4 linked regions of the Alligator mississippiensis genome follow. The protein of the gene in region 1 interacts with the protein of each later gene in a pairwise test. Links are inferred from orthologs where the notes say so. Each region holds a gene or a part of one and is shown in the gene's direction. Other genes may lie near its edges.

Region 1 (7,792 bases):
GAATTGCTACCAACAGATAACCCAATGCAAATAATTCCTGGCTTCAAGGTGCTGCAACAAGCTGTTTTCAAAGACTATGAGGATCTGGCACACAAACCTTGCTACATGGTATAGCACGTAGTTACATGAAAGGCACTTACAAACTCATTGCTGTTTTCACTAATGCAGGGAGGGTGAATGGCAAATTTGAAAAATGAAAACATACTTCCTAAGTAGGAGACAATTTTGGAGGGAGATATTTGAATAATGTAATTGTAGGTTTTATGCACACATACTTATAAAATTAAGTTTCATCATTGCCAATCATTTATCTCCGTACATACATGTTCCCACTGAAAAAAATTGGGAAAATATAATATTTCTACAGTCATAGAGGTTAGAAATATAGGCCCAAAACATTAAAATGGAAGTTAGCTTGCATTTTTCCAGGACAGCATTTCTGAAAAATGTGTGCTTCAGATAATTATTTCTCAGTTACCTTAAAAGCAATTTGGAAAAGCATGATGTGCAAAAAAACCCAAAACGCAATAGAGCACAAAAATTATATGAGGTTGCAAAGTGAAAGGATGACAGAAAAGCCATGAATAATCAAAACTAACTATTGATTTGGGTGTTCTAGCTTTCATGTTGTATGAGCTTCAAGTAACAAGCTCCTTTTGGAAAAAGAACATATAGTTGAAATGTAGAGAAATCTTCCTTTAATTTTGTTAAATACTGTTTTTATAAATAAACTGAATGATGTTGGCAAAATAAGCCAGCCCAATTTAGCAAACTGATGGCTGACCTTGAAACTTCATCAGGGTGGATTTGATTTAAATCAAATTGATTCAAATCATAATTTAAATCACTGGTCAGGAAGCCTCGACTTAATCATTATTTTCTGCAAAAAAATGCATTCTTGTTCAAGATCCTCTGTTCATTTAACTTCTTGAAACTTTGTACTTTTAGACAGAGGTAAGGGCTTGACCATGTGTATGCAAACTTGTAGAGAGGCAACAGGGCTGAAAGGTAGGTAATCAGATCTGTTATCTCTCATCTTCATATACTGTTGCTAACAAGGATGTTATTTCTGGAGACACAAATCTACAGTTTGATAAGTGAAACTAAGCATCACAGGGCATGTCTAAACATCGCCCTACAGCGACATAGCGATTGTGCGGGTCTACATGTGATCACCAGCTAAGCTGACGTAGTGGCCCACTCCCCTAGTATAGAGTGATGCTACGGTGACATAGTAACAAAACCTAACCGTGCACCGTTTGCACAGCATAGTAACTGCCCATACTGTGCTGTGCTTTAGGACTTCTAAACAAAAACTTCACCGATACTGTATCTAATGCTGCAGTCCTTTCTTGGGATAAACTATTGTCTGAATCTGAGTCAATTAAATATATAAAGATTTAGGTGATTGATATATTGATAATAATATAGTAAGGCAACTAAGGAGTCATGCTTTCCTTCTGCTTTTCAGAAGATTTCCATAAAAAAAATTCTATCCATTTTTAAACTATACTATAGAATAAGAGAATTATAGCTTCTCCCTAGATTTACATGGAATGGTCCAAAAATTATAGGAAATGTTTTAAATTCTAGATTAAATTCTGAGTTTCTTTAGAATCGTATTGGTTTTGTTCCTATGAAATATTAGACAACTTTTCCATAGCAGAATGTGAGATGAACGGCACACTTTGGACTAAAAGAATGTCACTAGAATCACCCCCAAACTCACCTTAATCTTCTACATGAGTAAAAGAAAACTAGAGATATTCACTGAAGAGAGAAGGAATTATACTGTTCCACACAACAATCACAGGACATCCATTCTACAGACTTGTTAAGACTAGCATTGCCACCCAACCCTCAGGCAATTTTCTTTACTGGTAAGGATGTAGGCCTATTGTATGAGACTGTGCTGCTTTTCTCTGTGCTCTGGATGAAACTAGGAAGGAAATAGAAAGGTGGTCAATAATATGTTTGTTCAACAACCAGACAAGCAGAAGGGTGAATCTATAACAGCAACATACTAAGCACTTAGCTTGTAGGTTCTTTATTTGACCTTGAATTTCCCAGATTTAGAATCTGTGAAGCCTAGTGAGTGAATGCTATATAAGAATCTAATATTAATTAAGCTCGTGGAGGCCAACTCCAACAGTAATATACCACTTCTCTAGGATTTACTTTCCTAGCCAATTATATTTGTTACGTTTGTAGTGTTTTCAAGCTTTAAGATGCTAAAAGCTTCAGGCTGATTTATGGTTTCACATCTAAAGCATGTGAAACTTATCTGAGATTAGCATTAGATTTTTTATTTGTCCAAAAACAAAACTCAAAGAGAGTTTGGCAAAAAATACACAAATAAAAATAAACATGCATATAAAAACTAGATTTTCCCCCAGCAGCAAGTTTGAGATTTACATCCAGTTAAGTTACAGGAAGCAAATTCTAGCTGTTTGCACCCAATGAAGTGATGCAGGCAACTAATACTGAAGGTCCAAGCATACCATATTTCATCTTAATGTCACCATCCTGAATCACTGCATACTGGGACTTTTAGTTTTTGCAGGCCAAAGCACATTATAAAGGTTACATGTGATCTACAAAAGGGGGAAAACCGGAACCCACAATTTTCTCTTTGCTTTTTCAAGTTCATGCAGGATGACATAGACTTGAAATTTTGCAGCTTGTTTTAAAAAATTAAGGCTCCTAAATGGCAAACATTTATACACATACTTTATTATACTTGCTAGCACAGTCCTCAAAGCAAGTCAAAACAAAAAAAATCCTTCAGGTGTTTTATGCTTCACGTGAAAACAAAACATCACCACAAGCCTATTTTTTAGAAGCCAGCTGACTATTACTTTCAGAACACATTATGGGTACCCTTTGCATGAAGCTATCCATCCAATTAAGGCAGTTATAAGACAATTTAGTGCATAATATGAAGAGGTGGACGTAGGGAAGAGGCAAGCAAGCAAGAGGTATCAAGTACTGTATGTTAAAGTATTTTTTGTAAAAATATACTTTAATTAAAGGCTATAAGGGGACACCCCATCCAGAACAGCATTTCCATGTATTAATTAGTCTGAACAGTTTGGTCTATTCACACTAATTGCAAACTCCTTGGGACAGGAATGGCATCTTATTTTTGGACATAAATGAAAACATTAACCACATCTGCAACAAGCAAGCCACTGCAAAGTCATGAAGTAGAGCTAAAAATGCTTATTAACACAAATTACAGATGCAGACCCCAAGAGCAGAGTCAGAAAACAGGGAACTCAATTATAGGGTACAGATTTTAGAACAAGTAAAAGGATGAATACATAGTGTTAGGTACCTTAAAGGAAATTTTTTTCTTGTGGATAAGCACTTTTTCAAAAGAACAGACACAAATTCAGATAGATCCCATTGGAGACCATCCTGGAGGCTCTGCAGGGCTCCCATCCCACACCTCACTGCTCTCAACCTTTTTCAACATGAGGCACCCTCCACGCTTGTGAATTGAGGGGCACTACATTTAAAAAACTAACTTCAGCGCTCAACTCCTTGCACAGAGGGCTGGACTGGGCTGGGCAGTGAGAGCAGCCCTGCCCTGCCCTGCCTGTGCCTGCACTTATCTGCTGGAGTCCTGGTGGGAGGCACCCTGGCTGGGGCTCACGGCTGGGCCCCATGAGACCGGCTGCTGCTCACAGTGCAACAGCTCAGGACAGAATTTGGTTTTCCTCAACCCCTTAAGTCAGTTTGCTGTTTCCCTTAAGGTAGGGCTGTGATCTATGAAGCGAAGGCTTTGGGTTAAAAACAGGCCTTGGGTTTGAGGTGGCTGTGACTGACCCGAGCCCAAACCTGTGACACAAGAGCAGCTGGCCCTTCGGTTGTGCCAGCAACAAGCTGGACTGAAACACCCTGAGTGCCTTTCTCTCCCTTCCTGTGCCGGGCCTTCAGGTGGGCCCAGGGGCTCCTACTTCTGTAGGATCCCAGCACAGGGGGAGAGATGTCCTGCCTGGGACACTGCTTTTGCCTTCCGGCTCTGCAGTCAGTTTATTAGGATTTTCAGGTGAGTGATCTTTTTCTGGGCATTGTTTGCAGCAGATGTGTGACCCCGCCCCTCAGACCCCGGGGGCCTGCAAGGACCCCCACCAGGGCCCACTGCGCGAGCCCCCTACCCCGGCTCCCTTAGGGGCTGAGTCTCCGCTCACTGAGGTCTCCCTGCGAGGCGGGGATAGCTCAGCACCCCGCCCCGGGACCCGCTGCTCGTACCGCCCCGTCCTCGCGCAGGGCGGCCTCAAACCAGGACCTGCAGCTTGAGCGGGACTGACCCTGCTCGTCCCAGCCCGCCCCCCGATATGGAAGTTGGTTCAGTCCGGGGCAGGCGGTTACCGCACTCTTTTCCCTTGGTTCAACCCTTCCCCCCCACAGCTTCGAGGAAGTTGGTTGCGGCCGGGCGCTTAGCCAGGGCGGTTGTGGTCGGGCCCGACCTGTCCGCGCGCGCGCACGCAGGCGCTGACGCAGGGAGGCCGGCGCGTGCGCGCTCGGGGCTCGGCCGTTGGGGGGAGGGCGGCGCGGGGCGGCCCTGGCGCAGGGGCGGCCGTGGCTGTGGCGGTGGCTGCGCGCGGGCCGCCGATGCCGCCGCGGTGAGATGGCAGCGCCCAGCGAGGCGGCGGGCCAGCGGCAGCGCGGCGCGCACGGCTGAGGGGACGCGGCGGCGGCTGTCGAGCTGCGAGCCACGGTAGGGACATAAACAGGACGGGGCGGGACCCCATGCCCGGCCTGTCACGGGGGTGACAGCGGCTTCCTCCGCTGGGGGGAGCGGGGCAGCCGCTGCCCGGGCCGGGCCCAGCGCTGGGGCGGTGCCGGGCTGGGCTCGGGGTCGCCGTGTCAGCGAATAACCTTGTGTGCTCGGGCGGGGGAGGGGAGCCCCGGCCGCGCCCGCCGCCGCGGTGGGGCCCTGGGCCCTTACCTGGGGGGACAGGAGGTGGCAATGTGGTGACATCGCTGTTTTGCTCCCCTTAACTGGGGAGCGGGGAGTCCGCTCTGCGGGGATGTCCCCTGCAGCCTGTCATCACGGCCCCTGGAGGCACCAGGCTCTCCCGCAGTCTCGCAGTGGGGGGGTGCTCCTGCCCCTGCTCAAGTGGGAGATCTGATGATAGCTCCAGTAGTCAGGCTTTTAAATGATAAAATACCCACAGATTGCTAGAACAGGCCCCAGGTCGTTGCTTTTATTGTAAAAGGAGCCTGGCGTGGGTTCCCCCAGCGTGTGCGGGGCTGTAACTTCATTCACCACAGAAACAAGATGCGCCTCCCACTGTATGCCATCAACTAATTGCGCTGCGCTCCTAATCGCGTGCTCCACGAGCTTCGACGGCCGGCCCATGCGGATAAGAAAAAGATCATATGGATGCATGAGAGTCCTTCAGCCTTCGGACAAAGTTCTGCAGACAGTCCCAGAAGTTGTGTTCCTCTTTCCCGTGTGGGTTACTGCTTGGATAGAGGTGACCAGAAGGGCTTACTTGGGTATGAATGTAGGTTAGACACAGTGTGCTAATGCCTATTTTACTACAGCAGTTCTCAGCCAGGTGCCGTGACACCCCCAGGTGCCTTGAGATCCTTTCAAGGATGCCTTGTAATGTTAGGACTATTAGGCATGTGAACATGATTCACAAGATAAACCCAGAGATTTCAAATAGGAATCCATAGTATTAAATACATTCTGACTTGTTACGATCAAGTTTTTTGCAACAGAAGAATTACTTTATTATTTTTTTAAGTTTTAAAAAAAAAAAAAAAGGAAAAACTAAGTTGGTATTTTTTGAGCAGTGTCTTGAGTCTAAGAAGGTTGAGAACCACTAGTTTACTAGGTTGTGTTACCTTATGTTGAAAGTGGGCTAGCTAGTAAGATCTGTGATGATTTGTATGTGTGAAATAAAAATGGATGCCAGTGACCCTTTATAGTATAAAGGCTTATACTTTGTTTATGACATGAACTTTTGTAAGTGAATGAACACATTGACTAGTGGTAATTTGTTAGAACCTTTTGGAAATGTATAAATGGTAATTCTGTGACTTTTTTTTGATTAGAGAAACCAACTGGAAGACTGTTATCCTTGTATTGAGGGACTGCTGATGAAGCCAGCTAATGTGAAGTCAGCTAGACATAAACTCTGTTAATTTAGTGTTTCTGTGATTAAATGAGATTCAAGGAATGTTCACAAAATGAAAACTTAAACTATGCTTTTTGTTGTCAATGATCCCCAGATCTTAAAAAGAACCATGGAGTTCTTTTTTGGGACAAAATAAAAGAAGAGGAAGGAGTACCCGTCTGTTCCTTCCCATCTTTCATTGTGTCATGGGGCTGCCACCTGGGAATACTCGCCACGTCACTTTTCTTCTCCATCTTTACTCTTTACTTTGCAGGAAAGGACAAGATGTGTTCTCCAAGCCCTTCCTGTGTTACTTTTACTGCCCACAGCCCAGATTTGAGGTGGGAATGGGCAGTACATCCTGTCACTTCCCTTCTCTCTCTCAAACTCTATAGTAGCTAATGGCCTGAAATGAAAAAAGTTTTAGTAACTATGGATTGACAAATTAAACTGCAACTACTAAATAAAAAAGGATATCAGTTATAAATTAAGGGCAGGAACTAGCTGTTGGGTGTTGCCTTAAAAATGCAATTCTGAACACTTAGAAAACTTTTGGTTGACCAACTTGGTAAGAAGCACATCCCTCATTAAAGCTGAAGGCACACATAGGGATTTTAAGGGGTTAAGGCATAAAAAAAAAAAAAATAATAATTTCCCACATTCAAAAAAAGCTTTCCAAACTAAGTGGGGTTCTAACCTATTGGCTTTTCAACTAATGCAAATTTCATTTAAGAAATACTAGATTGTTTTTAGGTCTGCTTCAAGTTGCACCTGCAATTGGTGCAATCTTCCTGAGTTTGTATAAAGTGGCTTGAGTAGTGGGAAGGTAAATGAGTTGTGGTCTGTTTCCCTAGTTTCATTACTCATTATAAGATTCTGAATAGCAGCTATGAACTTACTAAGAATCCTGTCAGTTTCCCTGTTTTGCATTTGCTGAAAACTATGAACTGACTTTTACCAAATTGATTTTGTAAAGGATCAGATACCAATCTTAGCAGAGAGCAAAGCACATGTAGATGTCATTGAGACAAAGAGGATAAAATATGGCCTGGTGTATTAACTAAACTAGATATTATATATTTTGCTGTAATTTAGGAAGAAGGAAAATTTTGTGTGCCCCCCTCTTTTTTTGAATCTCCCACATTTTTGCTTTCTTTCTTCCTCCATACTTTTTCTTTCTTTTTTCCTCCCCTCTCCTTTTTCTCTCTACTTCTTTCTGAATCCCACCACATTTCTCATCCTATATGCTTTCCTGTTAAATATTGCAATAATTCATGTTGACTTATAAAAGGCTGCTATAGTTTCACTGTGTTGTTCACACCCCCATGTAATGGGCATCAGGATAGTTCATACCTCTTAGCCCTTATTTCAGACTATGTTCAGACTTGGATAATACTGTATCAGTTATGTACGGGTTGATGGTGTGTATGTGGGAGCAAGAGTAGAAGAGGAAGCATTCCACTGGGAGGGCTAGAAGATGACAGGTTAGATTTGTCATGTTCTGTTTTTGAAATCTTATTATAAAGCAAAGTGATATTCAAAAGGAAGACCCTCTAAAACTAGAAGAGATTGTCAAATTGCCCGAAAAAAGTAGGAAAAAAGCTTCTTTCTTTTTATCAAGGGAGAGGCTTTCCTTCCCAAACAGAGACCCATAG
Region 2 (7,925 bases), about 140 Mb from region 1:
GTCCTAGGGCTGGCTGCTCTTGTTTAATATTTTGCTTAATGAACTTCACACAAAAAGTAAGAGTGTACTGATGAAATGTTCTGATAGCACAAATCTGTGAGTCACTCTCAATACAGAGAGGAGGATTAGGATATCCTACAGGAAGTACTTGATGATCTTAAGGACTGGAGTCATAGAAATGGGATGAAATTCAGTGGTACCAAATGCCAGGTCAGGCAGTTAGGGACTGATAACAAGAACATCCCCTATAAGTGTGAGAGTGAGAGGGGGAGAACTTCATGAACTGAAAATAACTAAGAGAAAAACCTATGTTTAGCAGTTGATTACACAAAAAAGGAAAGGATTTCTTTCAGAAATGTTGAAATAACTGTTTTAACTGTAAAAATTTTCCCTTCATTTTTAATTCAACAGAAACTAATTGCTGATTTTTTTTTCTCACTGCAGGCTCATGAACATGAGCCTAGATGCTGTGGCTAGTAAAGCAACCAAAATGCTGGCTTGCATCCATAGATGCTTCTCAAGCAAATCCCGGGACGTCATTCTCCCCTTGTACTCGGCCTTAGTGAGGCCGCAGCTGGAGTACTGTGTCCGGTTTTGGGCTCCACAATTCAAAAAGGATGTGGAGAAGCTTGAGAGAGTCCAGAGAAAAGCCACGCGCACGATCAGAGGTCAGGGAAGCAGACCCTACGATGACAGGCTGAGAGCCCTGGGGCTCTTTAGCCTGGAAAAGCGCAGGCTCAGGGGTGATCTGATGGCCACCTATAAGTTTATCAGGGGTGACCACCAGTATCTGGGGGAACGTTTGTTCACCAGAGCGCCCCAAGGGATGACGACTAGGTCAAATGGTCATAAACTACTATAAGACCGTTTCAGGCTGGACATAAGGAAGAATTTCTTTACTGTCCGAGCCCCCAAGGTCTGGAACAGCCTGCCACTGGAGGTGGTTCAAGCGCCTACATTAAACACCTTCAAGAGCAAACTGGATGCTCATCTTGCTGAGATCCTATGAACCCGGCTGACTTCCTGCCCTTTGGGCAGGGGGCTTGACTCGATGATCTTCCGAGGTCCCTTCCAGCCCTAATGTCTATGAAATCTATGAAGTTTCAGTTAACTCAGAACTGTATAATTCAGCCAGTAAACTATTCACCAAAAAAAAATCACGAGCTCCAGTCTTCGTTGAGTATGCTCCACTCCACAATGACAGTCTGAGTAGGCTTTTCCTGCAATTGCTCCTCTGTCAACCGGGGTTCAAAATGACACTACAAATAAGACCTAAGAGACTGACACTCTCTTCAGTGCTCTCAATGCCTTCCTTACTGTGCCAACCAGAAGACATCTGGGGCTAAATCTGAAGAGGTACTAAACTGTGAGTCATATCAGCAATGTTATTTCCATGTACCAGGAGCAGGGTGAAAAAAAAAAATCAGACAATGGATTGTAAATAATAATCAAAGTCTGGTATCTATGTAGGCAGAACTTATTTTTATATAGTGCCTTTACACTTAAGCTGTTTACAAAGTAGTGACTGAGTTAGGTATTAGGTGTGCAGTGACTGCGCAGTCCAGTGCAGCAGGAGTAGCACTTGGCTCTAGCTCATATATAGAACCTTGAGCATTAGAATGTATTATTGAGAGAGTAAATGTTACCTCAATCCCTGATCTTTGAAAATAGTCCATAGAATAATTATTAACCTATATGGACTTCATTGTGGGTTCAGGACTTGAACAGTGAAGTTATAATGTACTCTTTTCAAGACATCCTTAATTTTCAAATAGGCAGTCAGCAGAGACAGGCAACAAGGGTTTCATCCAAAGGTAAGCATCTCTAGTGCTGCAGCTCCTTCTCTTTTTGGTACTGTGCTGTAGGCCTGAGACAACATCCTAGATGAGAACTCTTACTTTTTGCACAGACAAGTGCTGCTAGATGAACCAATGCCACCTTTATGGTGGCACAGAGTACATCTACGTGAGAAGTTTACTGCAGAACTGCCTAATTAGCTCCACAGTAAATGTCTCTATCTACAGGTGTGCCCCTATTAGGGTGCATGAAACTAATAAACTGTGGAGCAGGCTAGTACTTGTAAATACAAGTACCCTGTAAATACAAGTACCCTGCTGCACAGTTTTTTCATGCTTAGCAGTACATGTGTAGCTGCTGCCCAGCTGGCTGGGGCATGAAGTTGCTTCAGGGTGGGGGCTGTTGTCTGGCTAGCTCCGCACTGAAGCACCCTTGTGCCCCAGCCAGCCCCTACGCAGCACAGTGAGCCCAGTCGGAGTAGCCCTGGGCTACTGCCAGCTGGGGCTGCTCCGACCAGGCTTGGTGTCCTGCACACAAATGAACTCTGGAGAAATATACTTCAGAGTTTTTTGCTCCTGGGCACACATCCAACTGGTGTGCCTGGGGGCAAAAAAACTCTGGAGCAATAAACTCCAGAGTTTATTCATGTGTATTAATTGCCTGTGTAGATGTGTCCACATTCTCCTAGATAGGTAAGTTTTCCATATCTGTTATTAACTATTTTTCTAACTCATCTCCAGGCTTGCCCAACTTGTTTAAACTTGAGCTGGAACCCATTGTTGAATGAAAGGCCTGGCCTGCACCTGCTCTCTCCCAGCATCTCAACAAGCAGAACTAAAGAACACAAATTCTTGAAGTTCATCTATTACAGTGGTTCTCAAACTTCTGAGTCTCAAGGCACCCCTTGGAAAATGCCAGTTCTCAGCTGTCACTCATTTTTGACTAGAGAAAAAAATAGAGCAAGTCTTCTGTTGCAAAGAACTCAGAAAGATCATTACAGGTCAGAATGTTTTTAATTGCTATTTGAAATCTCTGGCTTTATCTTGTGAATCATGTGTAGGTGTTTGCAGACCTCAAATTTGTATGGCAACCTGCAGCACCCTTAAAAAGATCACATAGCACCCCACAGCACCGCAACATCCTGGTTGAAAATAATTGGTCTAGTAAATAAGAAACAGCAGAGAAAAGGAGAGGGATGAGCTACTTCACCTGAAAGAGAAATCTGCCTCCTGTGCCCCTTGTTCAGACAGCATTACAAAGTGATGCACACACAAATTACTTTCTGCCAAATCTCCTCCTCCTATTGGGAAGAAAGCCAACAATGCGAAATGCAATCCAGTTGCATGCCCCACCCTCCTCCCGGGCTGAGTTATTTTAAAACTTCAAGCTCACTCTAGATAACAACACTGACCAAAAGAAAAAATGGGGTGGGGGTGGCTGCAAAAGAGAAATAAGGAGGGCAAAACAGAGTGACGCAGAAGAAAGTGTGGCCAACAAAAGCAAAAGCTTATGTAGACTGATCAGTGTTTGCAGCAGCAGCAAAGAGATGTTGGGGGCAAGAACAAATAGCTTGGGGAAGGGGCTGCAAACAGTGGCAGTAAGTGGAACCAGCAAATACTGTTTGTTGGGAGAGTGGAAGTGTAGCATAGGCAGCAAAGAGGGGTTGGTGGTAGGGAGTGGTCAACAGTGGCAGGTGAGGGTTTTGGTTGTGAGGATTGAGTGTGGCAGGTTGGCTAGGGGCAGGTTTGACAGTGAGGACAGGGAATGGCTGGGATGGAGCTAGAGTTCTCTCTCTCTCTCTCTCTCTCACACACACACACACACACACACACACACACACACACACACACACACACACACACACAGAGTGTTATAGGGCAGCCTGACACAGGGGGCCACAAGAGAGGTGCTTCAGGGTCTGCACAGTGGAGCGGGGTGTTAAAAGAGCCACCAGGCACAAGGACTGGGCTGCTCCAGAGTTTAGGATATGGGGTTGCGGTAGGGGGTACAAGGAAGAGCTTGCATACAATCATATAGAAGTAGGGTGGGAAGGGACCTCCAGAGATCATCTAGTCCAACCCCCTGCCTGAGGCAGGAACATCCCTATCCAAAATATCCCATACAAACAGTAATCTAAGCTCTACGTGACACTACTATCAACCCTGACGCAACACTGACCCTAAGCAGAGGGGCAAGACCCTCCAGCCTTAGTCCCAGCAGGAGCATTGGCACAATCCAGTAAAAGTGCCTAGCCTTTAGGGTTACCAAATTTCCAATTCCAAAAAAAGAGGACACCTGTCGTTGGGACACCTGCAGCACCATGTGTCATGTTTGAGAGGCATTTGGTGGCATGGTGTGCACGTGCGTGTGTGTGTGTGAGGGGGTTATGAAGTGGCCTGACACAGGAGGGCACCGGGGCGGTGCTTAGGGACAGCGGGGGCAAGGGGGAAAACCGAGAGAACATAAGAATTTAGGGAATCCGTGAGTGTTCTGAATAAGGAGAAATGGTGAATAAAAGGGAGAGAGAGGAAAAACTGTTTTGCTGAATTAAAAAATACTCTTCAGAAATCTCGTCCAGAATAAGGTGACAAGGACTGTCAGCCACACACCTATTGTATTTACTCGAATAAAAGATGCTCCTGAATATAAGCTGCCCCCCCTCCCCACCAGTACTTAGCTTCTAGTTCGGACTGCAGAGGGGTGCTCGGAGCCGTGCCTCGCGGGGCTGCTCCGGAGGAAGAGCTGGCCCGTGGCATCGTGCTGCAGAGGCTGTGTGTGTGTGTGTGTGTGTGTGTATATGTGTGTGTGTGTGTGTGTGTGAGAGTGGGGGGAGGAGGTGGTTTGGGGGCACAGCGGGGAGCTGGTGTTTGGGGGGTCTAAGCCTGCCGGCCGGGGCGAGAACTGGAGGGCAGGGAGCGGGCCCGGCGGGGAGGGGAGGTGGGGGCGGGCTGGCACGGGCGAGGGAGGCGCTGTGTGTCCGCCTGCCTGCGGAGCAGGGGCAGGGCCGGGCGGAGGCAACGTGTGGCCGGCCGCCGCCGCCGCGATGTCCCTGCCCGTGGTGCTGCCGGGCTCCTGCTGCCCCGTGCCCGGGCTGGCCGGCGTGCCCCAGGCGGCCCCGGGCTCAGCGGACGCCCCGCCGCCGCTGCGGGCCCGCTGGGGCCGCCCCGCTCCCGCCCGCCGCGGCCCCGGCCCCGGCTCGCTGCTGCTGCTGCTGCCGGCCCGGCCGTTGCTGTCGCTGGGGCTGCTGCAGCTCGTGCTGGGCTGCGGCACCGTGGCGCTCAGCTTCGGCGCGCTCGCGCTCAGCGGCTCCGCGCGCGTCAAGAGCGCCTGTCCCTTCTGGGCCGGCTCCGCGGTGAGCGCCGGGGGGTGCGGGTCTGAGGGGCTGGGGTAGGTGGGGGGGTGGGGCTGGGATCTGTGTGGGGGTTAGGGGCTATGTTTGGGTCTGCGATGTGTGTGTCGTGGGGCTGGGGAGTGCAGGTGTGAGGGGCGTGTGTGTGCACATATATGTGGGGGCTGGGGAGTATGTATGTAGGGCTGGTGTATGCGGGGTGGGGGAGTGTTTGGGGCTGGGATGTGTCGGGGGGCTGGGGAGTACGGGTGTGAGGGGCGGGTGTGTGTGTGTTTGTGTACGTGGGGGCTGGGGAGTGTGTATGTGGGGCTGGGGTGGGTGGGTGTGGGGGGGCAGGAAGTGTGTATGTAGGGCTGGTGTGTGGGGGGGTTGGATGTGAGGGGCTGGTGTGTGTGGGAAGGTGGCGGAATGTGTGTGGGGGGTTGGGGTGTGGGTGTGTATGTGTGGGGCTGGGGTGTGTGGGGGGTAGGCGGGGTGTTTGGGGCTGGGCTGTGTGTGTTGGGGGGGTGGGGAGTGTGGATGTCAGGGGCTGGGGTGAGTGGGGGTGTGTGTATATGTGGGGGCTGGGGTGGGTGTCGGGCTGGGGGTGTGTATATGTGGGGGCTGGGGGTGTAGGGGGTGTGGGGGGGGACTGAGGATGTGTATGTAGAGGGGATTTGTGTGGGGGGGTGGCTGGGGAGTGTATATGTAAGGGGCAAGGGTGGATGTGTGTGTATATGTGGGGGCTGGAAGGTATGTTTGGGGCTGGGAGGTGTGTGTGTGTGTATGGGGTGGGGGGTGGTGTGTGTGTAGGGGGTTGGGGGGTATATGTAGGGGGATGCGTGTGTATGGGTGGGGAGGCTAGGGAGTGTATATGTGAGGGTTGGGGTAGATGTGTGTGTGTATGGGTCTGGGGTGAGTGTGTGTGTATGTGGGTGTTCAGGGAGGTGTGGGTGGGTGGGGGAATGTGTGTGTGGGACTGGGGTGTGTGTTGGGGGGCTTGGGGTATGTGTGTGCAGTTGTGGGGGGGCTGGGGGTGTGTTGGCGGGCTGTTTGTGTGTGTGTGTGTGGGGGGGTCTTGAGAAGGCTGTGTGGCTGTGCACTCTCATACACCAACTACCTGCCACAGCTCTATGCCCAGAGAGAGGGCACAAGCACCCCTGAACCCTCAGAGCCCCCTGGGTGCCGGCTGCAGCCACTGGGCTGTGCCAGTGCTCTTGGCATTGGCTTAAACCTGGTGTTTCCTGGCTAGAGGGCTCTGCTCAGGGTCCCACCATTGGACAGATTTGGAGTTAGGAAGGAACTGCCCCTTATACCCAGCTTGGTACAAACCGGGTGGACTTTTTTGCTTTCCTCTGTAGCACAGGCAGGGTTAGGATCTCTTGAACATATGGAGACAGCAGGATGCTGGCTGCCCCTGCCTTACCTGTGGCAGGTGAGGGTGTTAAGGCTGCATTGCACCAGGGTTGTCAGCAATTTTGTATAGAGTTTTGATGATGGATGTTTAAGGGATGGTTTGGAGGGGGATAATCCTGCCTCAGGCAGGGGGTTGGGCAAGGTGACCTCTGGAGCTCCCTTGCAGCCCTGCTTCTCTTCTGATTCTGTGAACCCAAGTGCACTTCATTCAGAGGCTGGGAAAGGACAGCACGGAGCAGAGCCTGGCAGGTTTCCGTGATAAGGTTTTATGAAACACACAATGGCGAAGAGAAAACTAATAGGGATTTATAACTCTCTCTCTCACCAGATGAGAACTCGGGGTCACAAGATGGAACGAGGAGGTGGGAAGTTGAGAGCAAAAAAAGGAAGCTCTTTTTCATACAACGCATCATTAAAGTGTGTTGGCACATGTTGCCATCAGATGCGGTGGAAGCTGACAGTTTAGTCAGATTCAAAAGGGATTGGACAGATTCTTGGAGGAAAGGGGCATCAGTAGCTGTTGACACAGGAGTTTGGGATACCACCTCTGAATCAGAACTTCTTAGACCTTAAGTGCTGGAGGCTGTAATTGAGAGAGCAACAGTGGAAAAAAACAATTCATACCCAGGTCACTCTTCCTTTCAGCATCTACTCTTTGCCACTATGTGACACAGGAAGCTGGGCAAGATGGTGTTTTGCTGTGACCCAGTAAATGGCAATTCTTAGATCCTTATAAAGTGGAACAAGTGATTAGAATACAAAACACAGGAAAGCAGGAGGGGGAAGGGGTACTGGGAGATGCGTACAAGCAAAGACCCCACAGGAAAAAAGGGGTCACAAAAGCTAAGCCAGGTAATGAGAGATGAATATAGATATGTATGCACAGACCAAAGAGCGCAGAAGCAACCTTAATTCTGGCATTTCCTAAGTTTAGAGAACTTGATTTAGGAACCATCAACGCCTCTAACTTTAAAAAAATACGTATGGAAAATATAGAAATAATATATTTTTATTGAATGAGAGAATACACTCAAGTGATTCATCTGTCTATAACAGTCTACTTAATATGTGTTAAATATGAAGTTTATTCCACCCAAAAAAGCCAGAGCATTTTGGCTCTGTGTGCATGAAGTGAAGATGGGGGCTGGACCCAATGATCTATCTCATGAGGTCCCTTCCAGCCCTAAGCTTTTGTGAATGTGTGAATCTGTGAATCTTTAGTCCTTTTTTAAACCACTCTTCACAGTCCAGTACAATCCAGGTTGTGAGGATCTTCCCATTCCTTGCAAGATTGACGCCTACTTGTTTAAAGCAGGTGGCTAGGGGAGTCAGGGCTCTGGTCCAGCAGTGCTACTGCTTTGCCTGTGACCTTTGATAAACCACT
Region 3 (7,977 bases), on another chromosome or scaffold:
ATTCAAAAGGTTGTCTAACTTTATCCAAACTACAATGCAAAATATCATTCTAGGAAATCCTTTTCTCCATGTATGTAAAAACACTAAAGTTCATAGCATTGAACCTATTTTATTATGTAAAGGACCAATTGATCATAGAATAAAAATAAATGACTGCACCTACTTTGGATCTCAGTAGGCTTCTTTATATAAGCCTTCTTTATAAGGCTTCTTCATATAATGGCAAAACTTTCACCTTTTTCCCAATATGGATATCTAACACTTTTATATGAGAGATCTTCTCTGAAGTGCTGTTGTTTTATTCAAACATGGCTTATGCAGAGCTCAATCTGTATTTTTTATCTGTGGTGAGAAATAACACTGTTAGTCTCAAAATTTACTCATTTACTCAACAGTCCAGTTAATATCTCAGTGTCTATCTCTCAGCAAAGCCTTAGAATCATAGAAAGTTAGGGTTGGAAGGGACCTCAGGAGGTCATCTAGTCTAGTCCAACCCCCTCCTTAACGCAGGACCATCCCCAGCTAGATCAATCCAGGCAGAACTTTGTCAAGCCAGCCTTAAAAACCTCCAAGGATAGAGATTCCACAACCTCTCTAGGTAACCCATTCCAGTGCTTCACCATCCTCCTAGTGAGAAAGTTTTCCTAATCTCAAACCTAAACCTCCTTTGCTGCAACTTGAGATTGTTGCTCCTTGTTCTCTCATCTGTCATCACTGAGAACAGTCCAGTTCCATTCTCTTCCGAACCCCACTTCACACAGTTAAAGGCTGCTATCAAATCCCCTCCTCTGTCTTCTCTTCTGCAGACTAAATAAGCCGAGTTCCCTCAGTCTCTCCTCATAAGTCATGTACCCCAGCCCTCTAACCATTTTTGTCCCTCTCTGCTGACCTCTCTCCAACTTGTCCACACCCTTTCTATAGTAGGGGGCCAAAAACTGGACACAGTACTCCAGATGTGGCCTCACCAGTGCAGAATGGAGTGGAATATTATAGAAGAATACCTTCTCTCTATCTGCCGGCAATGGTCCCACTAATGCAGCCCAGTATGCTGTTAGCCTTCTTGGCAACAAGGGCACACTGCTGACTTATATCCATCTTCTTGTCCACTGTAACTCCCAGGTCTTTTTCTCAGAGCTGCTGCTTATCCAGTTGGTTCCAAGCCTGTAGCAGTACATGGGATTCTTCTGTCCTAAGTGCACAACGTTGCACTTGTCTTTGCTGAACCTCATGAGAATTTTTTTGGCCCTATCCTCCAATTTGTCTAGGTCACTCTGAATCCTAGCCGTACCCTCTAGTGTATCTACTACTCCCCACAGCTTGGTGTCATCTGCAAACTTGCTGAGGGTGCAATCCATCCCATCTTCCAGATCATTAATGAAGACATTAAACAAAACTGGCCCCAGGACCAACCACTGGGGCACTGCACTTGATACTGGCTTCCAGATAGACATCGAGCCATTGATTACTACCTGTTGAGTCCAACAATCCAGGCAGCTTTCTATCCACTTTACAGTCCATTCATCCAACCCATACTTCCTCAGTTGCTTAAAATAATGCTGTCTGTGGGAGACTGTATCAAAAGCCATACTAAAGTCAAGGTATATTTTGTCTACTGCTTTCCCTGCATCAACAGAGCCATAGATCATCATAGAAGGCAATCAGGTTGGTCAGGCATAAATTGCCCTTGGTGAATCCATGCTGACTGTTCCTAATCAACTTCTTCTCCAATTGCTTAGGAAGGGATTCTTTGAGCAGGGACAGCCCACAATTTTTGGGAGCCCCCTGCAAGAAATAGTTTTGGGGCCCCCTGTGGCGGCTGGGGGGGGGGGAGGGGGGGCGATGAGCAGCCAAAGAAGCCAGTGGTGGCGGGGGGTGGTGAATGGCCAGACATGAAGCCGGTGGTGGCAGTGTCATTGGTGGCAGGAGGGAGGGGTGGCAAGCAGCTGGACTCAGGAGGGCCCTTAGCTGTGGGGTCCCCTGTGGCCGCAGGTTTTGCAGCATAGGACGGACCAGTCCTGTCTTTGAGGATCTGCTCCATGATTTTTCCAGGGACTGAGGTGAGCCTGACTGGTCTGTAGTTCCCTGGATCCTCCTTCTTCTCTTTCTTAAAGATGGGTGTGAGAAAGTAAAAGAAAAGAGGGCCTGAGTTACTGCAGGGGGGGAGGGAAATAGTCACTGCAGGTGTGGGAGTGGCCCTGACCAGAGCAAGACTGATGCAGATGTGCTTCCATAGTTCCTGCTCCCTCTGGATTGGTGGAGGGAGCCTGAGGAAGAATATTTCCAGTCCCAGAGAGGGGCAGCTGGGAGAGGACACTGATGGATTAGGCAAGGGGATGCTGGAGACCTACCCAGCTCACAGAGTCCTAAAGCCATCTGTGCCCAAGAGCAGAACATGAGGGAATGGTGAGGAGCTGGTGAGCAGAGGGCTGTGGCAGTGAGGACCACAGCAAGGAGCCAGCAAAGACAGAGAGACTAGGGAAAGTCATCACTGGATGAGCCCGGAAGCTGTTGAAGGTACAGCCTCCCCACCCTTTTTTTTTCCCTGTTGGTTGTTTTTTTGTTGTTTCATCTCCTCACTGCACTGGGGTACAGGGAGAAAGAGAAGAGCCCCTACCCTGCAGAAACCTTGGTTGTCCCACCCCAGGAAAGCCAAGCCAGAGGGGAGGTAGTTTGATTAAGAGCCATGGTACCAGTAAGAAAACCAGGCATGGAGGACAGGTGTTAATTTAAGACTGATCAAGTTAAAGGTTCCTGGCAAACCAATTTTCATTGTCTGTCTTGTGTATGTGCAGGGAATTTAATTTGATTGTCTCGTGAGCCTTAAATTACTTGACTGGGAGTGATTGTCCCATGAATTGGAGGAAAATTGATTTAAGTTATTTGCTTGATGGACTATTCAATGAATTGATATAGTGAAGTTGATCCTTGGTCTCTTGGGAACTGACTAAAGTTGGAGGCCTTGTGGTGCCTGAATCAAGTGATTTGAGTATACAAACACAACCATTTATTAAGCCAATGAATAGCTGCCGGAGGTACAGCTGTTCCACGCAGGATCCAGACCATGACGTTTGCCATCTGATGTGGGATAGCAAGGACGGGGTGTAAGGGGAAGAGGAGTCCTGTGAAGAAAACCCTTGGAGGACTCAGTGGAATCTTGCCTTCATACTACATCCACCTTTTGATAAGAAGTTCCATCAAGATGTGGCAGGCAAGGATAGAACACCTGAGGTAGGTGGCAGTGATATTCCCAGGTCCCTTTCCAAATGGCACATGTGAGCCATATAGGGTTATCCCCCAACAATGGGCACTATATTTGCCCTTTTCCAATTATCTGGGACCACCCCCTCCCCCCTGTAATTGCCACAAGTTTTCAGAGATAATGGTCAGTGGCTCTGCAATCACTTCAGCCAACTCCCTCAGCATCCTCAGATGCATTGCATCCAGCCCTGTGGACTTGTACACGTCCAATATTAATAAATAGTCCCTAACCAGTTCTTTCACCACTGGGGGATGCTGACCTCCCCAAACGGTGCTGCCTGGTGTAGTAGTTTGGGAGCTGACCTTGGCTGTAAAGACCAAGGTAAATGTGAAGACCGAGATCACCTTATCTGACTTTTTTTTTTCTAAGTGAAATACCAAGTTTTTGGAACAGGTTGTAGATCTGATAGTTCTCTTAAATAGGAAATTTCAGTATTGTTTAGAATGGACTCAATTTATTTTAGCCATTACACTTAATTTCTGGGTTCTAGAAATGTTAACTCTGGGAACCAGGTAAGAGGGCTAAGCTTAACATTAGGTAACAATTCATACACTGGACAGCAACTCAAGAAATAAGGCATTACAGCTCTTCTTTGGAAGAAGATTTATTTAATGAATTTGACCGCAACATTTAACCTCATGATTTCTTGCTGCATATATGAAAAAAAATCAGCTAAAATTTGATATCTTCCATGTATCAGGTATCCAGATTTTTTTAAATTAAATCTTCATATTTTCCCAAGCAGCTAGCAACTGTGACCACCAGAAACCTGAGATCCTTTGTTTCAAGGTGATTTGCATCCTCATCACAGATCTCACAGGAGGCGAGAGGCTCCATACCAGCTATGAACCGACTGCCCAGAGGAGTTTTCCATCTATTGACTCCTCTGTGAAATCCTACGAAATACGAACTTTCATTTCTACCCAGGAGAACTTTTACAATCTTTTCTTTGATGCCTGATGAAGGGTGTTTGTGCCCGAAAGCTTGCAATTAAAGAAATTTTTTTGCAAAAATCTTGCTGGTCTAATAAAAGATACCTACCTTCTCTACTCCGAGTCCTGATTGTTTTTTCTTCTAGAGCAATACCGCTACAACCTGGATACCTGATGCAAGTAGAAAAGAAACTCCATGTTGTGCAGGGCAGTTAGAGGCCAGCGGGGCTCCCCTGGGCTTCAACGCTTTTACTATTTAATATTAACAGCACAAGGATGGAATTAATCCCCACACACGCGACAACCCCCCCAGCCCTGGACAATACTTGGGCTGACGGACGAGGGGGCGGGGCGTGGAGAGCTCGGGAGGGGGCGGGGCCTGTCCGGATTGGAGACGGCGCTCTCAGGGTGACGTGCCCCCCGCGCGGTGGTGGGGGGCGGCGGTGCGCGCAGGCCTGCCCCGCCCCCGCCCTCCCACAAGCCCCCTCGGCCGAGGGCGGGCTCAGGCGGAGCAGCGGGGCAGCAGTGGTTACTTCAGCAGCCGGAAGCGGCCTGTCGCCTTCCGGAAGTGACGTCACGCCCCCCTCTCTCCCCGCGGAGGCGGCAGCGCTAGAGCCGGGCGCGGCTGGCGGCGGGGCCCGAGGTGCGGGCGGGATCATGGCGGACGGCGTGGACCACATAGACATTTACGCCGACGTGGGCGAGGAGTTCAACCAGGTGCGCGCGGCTCCCCTCCGCCTCTCCCCCTCGGGCCTCCCCAGCCCGGCCGAGGGGCTGCGTCGCCTGCCGGGCCCGCGGCGGGGAGGCCCAGCTCGGCCCGGCCCGGCCCGGCCCGGCCGCCATTGTTCGCGGCCGCTGCTTTCCCGCGGTGGGAGGCCGCCGGCGCAGGCCGCATGCGCAGCGAAGGCAGCGGGAGCCACCAGCAGCGGCCTGCCTGCTTCCTCTCCGCCTGGCCCTGGCCCTGCCCGTGCCGGGGTCTTGGTGGCGGCGGAGGAGGGAGGTGGGGAATGGCTCCACCTCCCGCGGCTCATCCGCGTCCGGGCCGGCGGGAAGGTGCGCGGTGCTCGGGGAGGCGGGAGCAGCACGGCTGCCTCCCGGCCGCCGCCCGCCGCCCGCTCAGGCAGACCAGTGGCCGCCCCGGCTAGAGGAGCCGCCTCCGGGGGATGGCAGAGGAGGCCTGAGGTGCTCAATTGCTGAGCTACTAAAAGGCCAGAGGCTCGAGGGGCAGGGATTGGCCTTGTGCTGGTCCACCCTGCACAAACACTGAAACAAAACAATCCCAGAAAGGCAGACCTGCCCCAGGTCTTCTCAGGAGTGGGGCAGCCCTGAGAGACTCCCCGCATCTCTTTTAAATAGCCCCGTGGTGCCTTTGGCCCCCTGGCGATGGGGATGCTGTTATTGCACTTTTCACTTGCACCTCAACTGACAGACACTTGGATTTTCTTTGAAATGTGTCAGTCTTTTCTCCCCCTCTGAAAACAAAGTGCAAACTGCCCTGCGCGTCCCTACTGAAATGCATGAGCGGGCCTCCCCCAACCCCACTAACAGCTGCAGTTACCTCAAGAAACATAGTGGTGGTTTCATGTGTGGTGGTGTCCCCCACTGCGTTGTTCCTTTCTGCAAAACAAGGGATCAAGTAAAGAATCTGCCCTCAGCAGATCGACCAGACTCACTGACCAGCTGATGTGTGGCAGTGGGTGTATAAGCAGAGGGAGGTTCATAGAGACTCAGGCGATAAGGAGGAGGGAGGTGACTGTGGGATTGTATTGGAGTGGTGGTTGGAGAAGAAATTGTGTCCCAAAATTTAAATCAATATCTAGAGGCTTGGGATATTTTTCAGAAAATAAGGTCATTTTTAAAATTTGATATTACGGAAGAGTAGCAAACTGTGAGGCAAGCAGGCAATAGAGAAGACTGGTTTGTTCATTTAAGACTTTTGGGTTGTTTAAATGGGAAGGATATACTGGTATAATGTGGAAGGGACACCCTGGGCCATAGAGTCAAGTTGCCTGCGTTTGTTATCCCGAGAAATCCCCATTGTCATCCTCAGCCCCTTACACTCTGCTACAAGGCATCATACCAACAATACCAAGAACGCTGTGTGATATGCTATAGGTAGAAGCAGGGACGACAATGACACTCTACCTGGGAGAAATGTTACAATCTTTGCCTTAAAGCTTGCAAATTAAAAAAAAAAATTGTAACTGTTTAGTTGGTCTAATAAAAAATACCACTTCTACCACACTGGCTGCTTGTACTTTTAGACCAACATGGCTACAACCTTTATCCCTGCTACTAAGTTAACCTGGAAGCAGTTGGTTAATATATACAGAAGATCCTAGGAGAAGGATCATGCCCATGCTGTTGAGAAAAGCAGTAACCCCAATGATCTCCTAATCTGGCCCAGACAAAAAGTTTTTGCTGGGTTTGAATTTTGTTACTGGTATGATCTTGAGTGGCAGTGCAGGACCTTCTAGCTGGGAAATTGTTTTCTCAGTGCCATCAAAAACATCAGCATGTCCTGGTTGAAACCCCCTTGCCTTACCTTACTGGAGATTGTGGATTTTAAGTGGTGCAAGCCCCAATGGGAATGGTTTTGTTCTTGTTTAGTTTAGTTTAGAATGGGTTCCCATTAAACCAAATTAAAGCCTCTCTTATGCTAAAAGAAGTATGTCCAAGAGCAATGTTGCACTATTTGACTAAACTAGTGTAATGTAAACTGGTGCAAATTTGTTTGTATTCAAGCCATTAAAGTAGGTAATTGATTGCTTGGAAAAATGGTGCAAATATTTGACGTTCTTGCTACTTGTATGGTTGCAGAAGAGACCTTGATTTTATCCAGTTTCTTGCAGTATATCTGTGTGATTCAGTTTTACAGAGGTGGTGGGTATATGTTGGGTGTTCTTTGCAATAAGTCTGCCAGTCAGAGCAATGGCATCAATGAATACATTCTGATTGTACTTCATTCAGGGCTCCTACTTAAGATGCACCTTTCCTGTATTGTTTGGTTTAGTCTCGCCTTGCATGTCTTCCTTTCTGCAGCAGATTTATTTTTGCTTGCAAATAGTAAATGCTATTTTCCATATAATTTTTCCTTTTAGTGATAACGTTTCAAAATATCTTCTGAAAAGTTTCTGATATCTTGTAAGTAAAATTTTAGGGGATAATTCCACTCAAAACAGTCATAAAACTTGGGAAGCTATTTCTGTTGTGAGCATGTGATCCCAGTAAAATGGCAAATGTCCAGGAAGCTTTTTGACTGGACTCTGCTTTTCTATGGTTAGTATATGTACTTTCTGCATAATTATTTAGTCTAGTTGCATTCTCGGTTTTTACTAATGTTATGATCTAATTTGGTACTGACAGCTATGGATTAATAGAGCTAAAAGAAATTCTAGTTAATCAAAATATTGTAAACCTCTTCTCTACATTTTTTGTGGTGACAGTGCATGGTTTGTTGTAATAGAAGATTCCAACAGACTAATTAGAAGCAGCATACAGGCTTGTGGGACATTACTTCTTATTTTTCTGTGCTTAAGAAATTCACCCAAGCTGTTTCAGCACAATTGCATTTGCTCATGGTCCTACCTACAAACTCAAGCTTTCAAAAGATTGTCCTTCAGTACAGTAAACTTACAAAGCCAACAGTTATTCCTGCTAAGGTTGAAAATCTGGTGAGGAGGAGACTTTCTGAAATACAAGTTCTCCTGAAATGGGATGTATTCTTGTGTCTCATAGATCCATCAGCATATACCATGCTTAGCTTTTATCTTCTGTGATTTGTCT
Region 4 (7,886 bases), on another chromosome or scaffold:
AATCTTATACGTGTTTGAATAACTGAGCACAATGTAATCCCACTCTAGGATTGGTCTTACTGCAATACAAATTAAAAACAGTAATAATGTGCTGTGACAGATTGGTCAATCCACCAGCTGAGATGTGAGAAGGTGATGAAAAGGGGAAAGGAAACGAGAAAGGAAAAGTTACAGTGTGTGTGTGTGTGTGTGTGTGTGTGTGTGTGTACACCCCAAAAGCATGGCCTCACCTGGAATATCCCTTTGTCTGCCAAGAAGCAGAAAAGATCTGGAGAAGTACAAGTCGTTATCTCTCTGAGTGTTTAAGGGTGAGCATTTTCATACTGGGGAAGACTAATAAATCTAGAGGCCTAATTCAGCCCCGCTCTACACAATAGCTACCTTGGGTTTGGCTGTACTAGAACTTCTCTTCTCTCACCCTCTCATTAGTTCTCGTGCCTGGCTTATGATACAGGAGTCCTGTTACAGCATCTGGCTGTCTCTAGCATTAATACAGTCCAGAAAAGATACCAGGTCAAGAAATTGTGCACAGCTCTCTTCAGTATACATGAAACCCTCTGAGCTGGTCTCACTTTTCCAACATTGCACATATCTCAGGAGCCACAAATCAGGTGGAAATAATCGTATGATGAAGAAATATTGCATCACCTTGAACAGTTTGCATAGCTGGCTGGTGTGTATATGCCTGTAAGTCATGATGGAGTTATTTAGGGGCATTTCTATAATGCGTCTTCACAAAGTCTCTAAACACATCACAAGCATTCATAAATTCAGACTTAAAGCCTTATCTGTGAGGTGGGTATTATCATCCCCATTTCATAGATAGAGAAACTGAAGCAAGGGGAGGTTATGGAACTTGCTCAAGTTGTGCAAGCAGATCTAGCTAAGAGACAACCACATCTGATTCATAAGAAGCTCTTGTGGCAAATTGAAATTGTCCTTCTTTCTTCCTTCCTGTTCCCGTTTCCTGGAGAGAGAGATAATATCATAAAAATAGGTTGCTCTGACAGCTGTCCTTCTCAAATCTCTCTCGGTATTCTCGTACTGGAGTAGGACACCTGCCCCCTCTACTCCCTCAATAGAAGCTTGTGTCTCTGGTCCCAAAGGTTGTAAATAATAGATGCAGTCAAGGTGGTTTCCTTTCTTAAAACAAAACAGTACAGAAAACAAAACTGGCATTTGATGACACCTATTTTTCACTGTGCATTCATGTGTGTGTATTTGTGCATGTGTAGAAATTTAATTTTCCCCAATATTTTTGGGTTATGATGAAACTGCCAAATTATTTTCTTTGTTTTCAGATTTTGAGGGGGAAATTCTGGGTTGTTTTTTCCCCCACTTTTTTAGCTCCTCCATCTTTTGTTTTTTTTAAATGAAATAAAAAGAGCCACGGTGAAATTTTTTTTTAAAAAGAGGAAGCTAGGTTCTTTTGCATCAAACAAAACAAGCAAAGGATAAAATGAAAAACCCCAAATACATGCAAACCAAAATGTTTCAAAACTGAAAGGTCTGTTGAGAATATTTGTCCAACAGTTCTGTAAAATCTTTAAGAAATGTTTATAAAACACCCTTTTTTTTTACCAGTTCTGGTTATGAATTTCTCTTTCTTGTGTGCAGTTAGATAACAAATGTATTTTCAGTGCATGTAACAGGGTTACAGGTAAGCAGAGAATTAGGTATATGAATATGCATACTTATGAATCCATACCCCATGGGCAAAACAGAATCAACTAAGAAGCTGTTGAACCGGCAGTCACTGGGTTAAACATGTTAAAATGATCTGCATCTAGTTATGTCAGGTAAATTACTAAGCAAACTCCAGTCATGTACCCTAGTGTGTCCAGGGAAAAGAATCAATTTTGAGCAATCTATATTTAAAAAAATTGCTCCTGTATTTCTACAAACAGGAATAAAACTCTAGGCCTTCTAGTAGTGGAGTTATATATAGAGCCTGTCTGGTTGAAGGAGCAGGGGGGAGGCATCAGGAAGATGCTGTCCCTCATTCTAGGTCAGAGGTGAGCAATTATTTCAGGCGGAGGGCCGCTTACTGAGTTACGGCAAGCCATCGAGGGCTGCGTGACAGTCAGCCAGGGGCAGATAAATATTAATTTTCTACATGTTTTAGGGGCCCTGCAGGCTGGACAGAATGGCCTGGCAGGCTGCATCTGCCCCGTGGGCTGCATTTTACCCACCCCTGTTCTAGGTCCTATTCTTGATTCTGCTTTTTTACTAGTACTTTGGCCTGGGGCAAGTCAGTCACCTCTCAATCCCCCCGTTTTCCTGTCTGTAATTTTACTTCCATCATCCAACTTGGAGTGGTTTAATTGCCAAAATGTTCGGTGCCCTTCTGGTGACAGGCACTACAGATGGATTTGAGTAGCTGGTTCAAGGGGATTGTTATGCTCATACCACCAAGACCGTTCATGGGTCTGCCTTGGGACTGGTGCAATTGCAAGAGATTTAAGAAGCAGTGCCAATAAATACAACCCCTTAATCCCTAGCATGGACCCAGCCAGTCAGGAAGTAACAGCTGCCCCTGTCTGATGGCTCCTGGGTGGACCATGGGACCCCATGGATTGGGGTCTCAAGTTACTTGCCCTGGGTACCAGCACTTGTCAGAGAAACCACACTCACAACAAGCATTTCTTGATCGCTTTCCCCTTTGTTTCTTGACAGTCTCAGAGGCAGAGGAAATAGGTAGCCTGGACAGATGCAAAGCATGGCTAGCAGGATGATCAGAGGAACAGATGAGACACAACTAAACAGCTTGGCTTGTTTAATCCTGAAAAAGGATGGTCATAACTGCTGTCTATAGATAAATCAGTGGTGGAAGACCTATTTTAAGCTGAGGGAGAATGTTGGCACAACTTCACAGGGGTGTAAATGGGCCCTTAATAAAATGAGGCTGCAAATTGGAAACAGATATCTAACAATCAGAGCAATGAACCTCTGGAACGGCTCACAATAGGAGCAATGGAGCAAATACCACCAACTCTTTTTAAGATTGAGCATTATCAGTTTATAGCATAGAACCATGTCATAGAGAAGTTGGTCAGGAAGGGACCACCAGAGGACATCTAATCCAACCCCCTGCCCGAGGCAGGCAGATCATCCCTATCCAAACCGCCTCATACAGTCCATCATCTAAACTGGGGGTGGGCAAAATGGTGGATCCAGCCTGCAGCCAGACTCCATTTCCTGGCAGCGCTGGTGGTGGCAGCTCCTTTAGCTGCTGCTGCTGCCCGCAGCCCCACTGTCTGGGCAGCTCGGCCTGTCCACCCTGCACCCACCACTGGGAGCAGGACCCGCACAGGCAGGGCATGCAGCTGGGCAGCTAGGTTGGGGCAGTGGCTGGGAGTGAGATGGGTGAGCAGGGACAGGGAGACCCCAGGATCTTGGGGCAGTAACAGCACAGGCTCAGGGCTGGGACAGAGCCGCGATCTGCTGTCCACACGTCCCTGTGATGAGCGTAGGTTGCATGGACAGGGGTGTGCAGGGAGCAGATTGTGGCTCTGCCCCGGCCCCAGCTGCATGCTTTCATAGCCCCAGGATCCTGGCCCCAGCCTCAGCCCCGGCCCCGGCTCCAGCTCTGGAGCAGCTCCCTGCCCAGTGGCGTGCCCTGCTCACAGGGCTCCCATCCAGCCTCCATGAAGACCCTGGGATTGTGGGGCCGTGACCACGTGGGGCTGGGGCAGAGCCTGGTTCTGTGGGCAGGGGTTTGCAGGGAGCAGGGCTGGATCTGGCAGGCAGAGCTGTCCCTAGGGGTATGCGGGGCCCAGGGCATATCAGTCTGTGTGGAGTTGAGGGGTGGCGAAGGTCCGAAGCGTTGAGTGGGGGGGAAGGGGTGGTGAGTGGGTAAGGTGGCAAGTGGCTGTGGCAGGGCCTGTATGGCACTGTCCGCGGGGCCTGGGGCAGCCGCCCTGATTTGTCCCCCACCTAGGGATGGCCCTGCTGGCAGGGAGTGCATCCCAGCTCTGCCCCAGGGGGAGTGGGGCTGGTGGTGGCAGCCAGGTTTCCAGGAAATAGAGACAACTACAGGCTGCATCTGGCCCACAAGCCATATTTTGCCCAGCCCTGATCTAAACCGTACATGAAATGGCCATCAACCCTGACACAGCGCAGACCGAGCACCCTAACATGCCATACAGAAAGCAGGGGATCCACAGCAGCCGGCGTCCTGCTTCTGTGAAACGTTGTCAGTACATGCTCAAGAGATCCTGGGTAGAGGCCCTTGCTGCTACAGAGGAAGGCAACCCCCTCCCCCAGTCCATGCCAGCCTGACTACAGGGTGAAATTCCTTCCTGGCCCCTAACACACTAATTGGCCTGACCCTGTTTATAAAGTAGATTATACGAGGTGCCCGGCTGTGATTGCAGGGGGCTGGACCTGATAACCCAGGAGGCCACGGCCAGTCCGGACTCGCTTTTCAGCCCTGAAAATCCGAGATGTGGGCTACGCTCGCCCAGTGGCGCGGAGCCAGGCTGGGATCTTCACCGATTCCTCCCTACACACCCTTTGCCCGGCGTGCCCCAGCCAGGAGGTGCCTTGTACCAGCATCAAATCCCCACTGCTTCTTCGAGCTGCAGAAGGGGTTTTCAGGTGAAGTGTAACCCAGGCAGGCCGGAGGAGAGCCGGGGCAGCGGCGCACAGAGCTGCTTCCAGGCCGCCGTGCCTCGAGGACAGGTGACTCCTGACCCAGGGGTGCTGGGGGCCCACCACTCAAGCCGCAGAAGCCGCTGTGAAGGGGCCCCGGGAGGCAGCAAGAGGGAGGTGGAGGTGCGGAGCTCCGGGCCGGCGGGGGCGGCTCCCTGCGCCCGGGGGAGGCGGGGCGGAGCCGGCTGCTTAAGGGGCAGGCCCGGGGCGGGCGCTGGAGCGGCAGCAGCAGCAGGTAGAGCAGCTTCTTCTTCGGCAGCGGCGGCAGCAGCCGGGACTCGTCTGCAGCGCGGCGGAGCCCCGGGGCCGGGCCGGTTCGGTTATGGGGAAGGTGCAGCTCTTCGAGGTCCGCCTGAGCGAGAGCCGGGTCATCTACAGCCCCGGGGAGCCGCTGGCCGGCTCGGTCACGGTGCGCCTGTCCGGAGCCCTGCAGTACCGCGGTGAGTGCCGGCCCCCGCCCGCCTGGCCCCGCGCCCCCATCGCCGCCCCCGTCTGGCGGGAGCCGCCTGCCGTCAAACTTCGCCTGCCGAGACCCGTGCGTGCTGACGGCGAGCCGGCTAACCCTGGCGGGAGGCAGCGAAGTCCCAGCCGTGGTTTCCGCGGCCCTGCGGGTTTCTTCTTCGGCCGGTTCGCGCGCGCGCGTGTGTGTGTGTGTGTGTGTGTGTGTGTGTGTGTGTGTGTGTGTGTGTGTGCGCGCGCGCGCGCGTGAGCCGGGCCCCTCTGCAGCACCTACTCTCTAAAGAAACATTGAGACGCTTATCTTGCTGGGCTCCCTTGGTCTTTGCTGGCCCTGGGGCAGGGGGCTGCACTCGATGATCTTCCGAGGTCCTTTCCAGCCCTAATGGCTGTGGGTTGAGGCTGGGATCCCTGCGGCGAGGGTGGCTTGGCTGCTTCCCAGCTGGGTTGGATCTAGGTGTGGAAGGCACCGAGCTGTTGGGGGTGGGGGGTTGTTACTGCTCGCTGCGCCCCAGCATAGGTAGGGGCTGATGTGCTTGAGGGTAAAGCTCAGCTGTGCTCCCGTGGGGGTGGGGATGGTGGTCTGGAGCCAACCTGCCCTGAAGTCACAGATTTCCAGGGTTTGGAACCAGCCATTCCCAGACTCGGTTAGACCTGACACCTGTGTCCAGAGCAGGTGTGGCAGAGGATCCACAAGAACTCCCAAGTAAGCGGGTGTGATAAACCCTTTCTCTCTGCTAGTTCAAGCTGTTGAGCAGGAGGAAGCTTGACCCGAGTTCTGACCTATTGCTGGTTGGTCCCAACTTGTGTTGAGTGGGACCGGAGGGAAGTTAAAAATCCAAAGGTGCCCAGGTCACGTGCCAAACTAACCCGCCTTTTATGTCCATGGCCATAACACGCAGTTAGAGCATGTTTTATGCAAGCTGAGATGAACTGTAGGGGAAAACAGTTGAACTACAACCAAAAGGAGCTGTTTGCTATTGGGAAGGAGGCCAAACTGTGTGTGTGGGTGTCTGCCCTAGTATCTAATTTTTCCACCTTCCAGTCTTAAATGTAGCTGTTTTTGATGCATCAAAAGCAGCTGCAAGGGGAGTACCTTGAGCTTGTAATTCTGAATTGAAATTTCACATTTTTAAAGAAAAAGGGGTACTGGAAAGTCTGGGAAAGGGGGAAGAGCAAAGGTAGATTATATATAATCTGCATAATAATCTCTCCCTCCCTCCGCCTCCTCCTTTAAGAGGGAGGGGACAGAGAATTTTTTTATTTACTTATTTCTGTCTCCTCCCTCTTTAAAGGTTGAGGGGGGGGGGGGGAAATTTAGTTCACAACAGTGTCAATACATTTGGGCTAGGCTGACTTGACTACTGTATTTATCCAAGTATGAGGTTAAAGAGACCTGACAAATTGTGAAGCTGGAAGGCAGAGCCTGGCATTCGGGTTTCCAGCATCCTTTAATTCCTGCATGTGGTTCAGTGCCTTCCAAAGCTCTGAGCAGGCGACGGTGTTGTGGTGGTCTCAGAAGTCGTTAAGCCATTCAGCAAAAAGTATCTTGTTTACAGTGACCGTGACCAACCAAAGTGATAGGCAGTGTAAGTCTTGTCACTTTTTTAGAGACTGTGGACATAGTGACCTTGAGCTGCCAGAGCCGAGTCTTCTTTGGACATTGGGGAAATGGGTTACATGTGAAGTGGACTTGAGAAGACCTAGGCTGCACACTGTGCTAGTCACTGGCTGGAATCTAGGAATTGATAACCATACAAACAAGCAGGTTATAACTGAGAAGAGGCACCTGCTTTTTAAAACTGTAAAATTCTGGTTGTAGCATATTTACAATGAGTCCTGAATTGTTTCAGTTTTCTAGATCCTTGCTGTTGTGAAACCCCTATTTGGAATTCTCCCTGGGAAGTTGTCAAGACTAACTCCAAGGCCCTGTCTTTAGTGGGAGGGGAGACTAATGAATCTGCAGTTTTGCTTGAAAGGGAATAAATCTTTTCTAGTGCTGATTTAAGCTGCTTTGGTGCTTGTGGTGTGAGGACAGGTGCCTTGACTTTATTGAAAATCTTGTTGACCCTTCTGCCATCCCTTGGACAGTCAGTCCTGCAGACTCTATGAACTTTGCATTATACTGACAGTGATGGAAAGCTTTAGGGAAACTTGAGAAGGGTAGAAGAGTGAAGCAGTCTGGATTCTACCTCCACTCCACCATGAGCTGTTCATGTGATGTTTAGACCAAGCAATTTAATGTGTTGTACCTATTTTTTCTCACTGTAAAATGGGAGAAGATAGTCCTTGTGAAGTACTTCATCCCTGGTACAATAGAAATGCAAAATCTCTTTCCTTCTATAAGTCTGAGTCTTGCTCACTTCTCTTGCAATTATTGCTTCCATCTCTACATCTTGGAAACCTTCCCAAGAATTTAGACTGGTAATCCCTTGTTGGCAGAGATCTTAATTCAATTGACTCTGCTTGGAAAGCACCCAGCCTTCTAGGCAGTCACTGGCCTATGTGAGCAGGTATGCCCACATTTTTAAATACTTTTCCTGTTGCACCTGGATCTCTGAGCTTCCAGAAGGCTTTGCTTAAATTCCTCTCCCAGTAAATTATGGGCTCTGGCTGTAAAACAGTCTCCTTGGGGAATGCCACTTCCTAGCAACACTCCTCTGAGTGAGAGATTCCTAATGGAGTGTTCACTGACTTCTGCCCCTTGCTTCCTGTTCCCAGCCCAGCCTGCCAACTTCTTCCTCTTCTCCTGAGGACCTGCCTCTATGAACAGGTCA

Evidence for each region.
Region 2: the proteins of WWP1 (region 1) and ENTREP1 interact in binary tests that used the Homo sapiens proteins (3 or more experiments, as listed by UniProt). The link is inferred for Alligator mississippiensis from reciprocal best matches to the Homo sapiens genes WWP1 and ENTREP1.
Region 3: the proteins of WWP1 (region 1) and CPSF6 interact in binary tests that used the Homo sapiens proteins (3 or more experiments, as listed by UniProt). The link is inferred for Alligator mississippiensis from reciprocal best matches to the Homo sapiens genes WWP1 and CPSF6.
Region 4: the proteins of WWP1 (region 1) and ARRDC1 interact in binary tests that used the Homo sapiens proteins (3 or more experiments, as listed by UniProt). The link is inferred for Alligator mississippiensis from reciprocal best matches to the Homo sapiens genes WWP1 and ARRDC1.

The regions. Positions count from the first base shown.
Region 1 is NC_081826.1:49,485,561-49,493,352, reverse strand, and holds the start of WWP1 (NEDD4-like E3 ubiquitin-protein ligase WWP1), read left to right. Parts: upstream 1-4,562; 5' UTR 4,563-4,726; intron 4,727-5,186; exon of another isoform or gene 5,187-5,283; 5' UTR 5,284-5,306; coding exon 5,307-5,489; intron 5,490-5,492; exon of another isoform or gene 5,493-5,511; intron 5,512-6,075; exon of another isoform or gene 6,076-7,792. UniProt on the Homo sapiens protein: E3 ubiquitin-protein ligase which accepts ubiquitin from an E2 ubiquitin-conjugating enzyme in the form of a thioester and then directly transfers the ubiquitin to targeted substrates.
Region 2 is NC_081826.1:193,661,226-193,669,150, forward strand, and holds the start of ENTREP1 (endosomal transmembrane epsin interactor 1), read left to right. Parts: upstream 1-4,821; 5' UTR 4,822-4,840; coding exon 4,841-5,149; intron 5,150-7,925. UniProt on the Homo sapiens protein: Functions as an activator of the E3 ubiquitin protein ligase ITCH in the ubiquitination of the CXCL12-activated CXCR4 receptor. Thereby, triggers CXCR4 endocytosis and desensitization, negatively regulating the CXCL12/CXCR4 signaling pathway.
Region 3 is NC_081827.1:69,657,977-69,665,953, forward strand, and holds the start of CPSF6 (cleavage and polyadenylation specificity factor subunit 6), read left to right. Parts: upstream 1-4,753; 5' UTR 4,754-4,848; coding exon 4,849-4,908; intron 4,909-7,977. UniProt on the Homo sapiens protein: Component of the cleavage factor Im (CFIm) complex that functions as an activator of the pre-mRNA 3'-end cleavage and polyadenylation processing required for the maturation of pre-mRNA into functional mRNAs.
Region 4 is NC_081835.1:51,725,554-51,733,439, forward strand, and holds the start of ARRDC1 (arrestin domain-containing protein 1), read left to right. Parts: upstream 1-4,859; 5' UTR 4,860-4,975; coding exon 4,976-5,093; intron 5,094-7,886. UniProt on the Homo sapiens protein: Functions as an adapter recruiting ubiquitin-protein ligases to their specific substrates. Through an ubiquitination-dependent mechanism plays for instance a role in the incorporation of SLC11A2 into extracellular vesicles.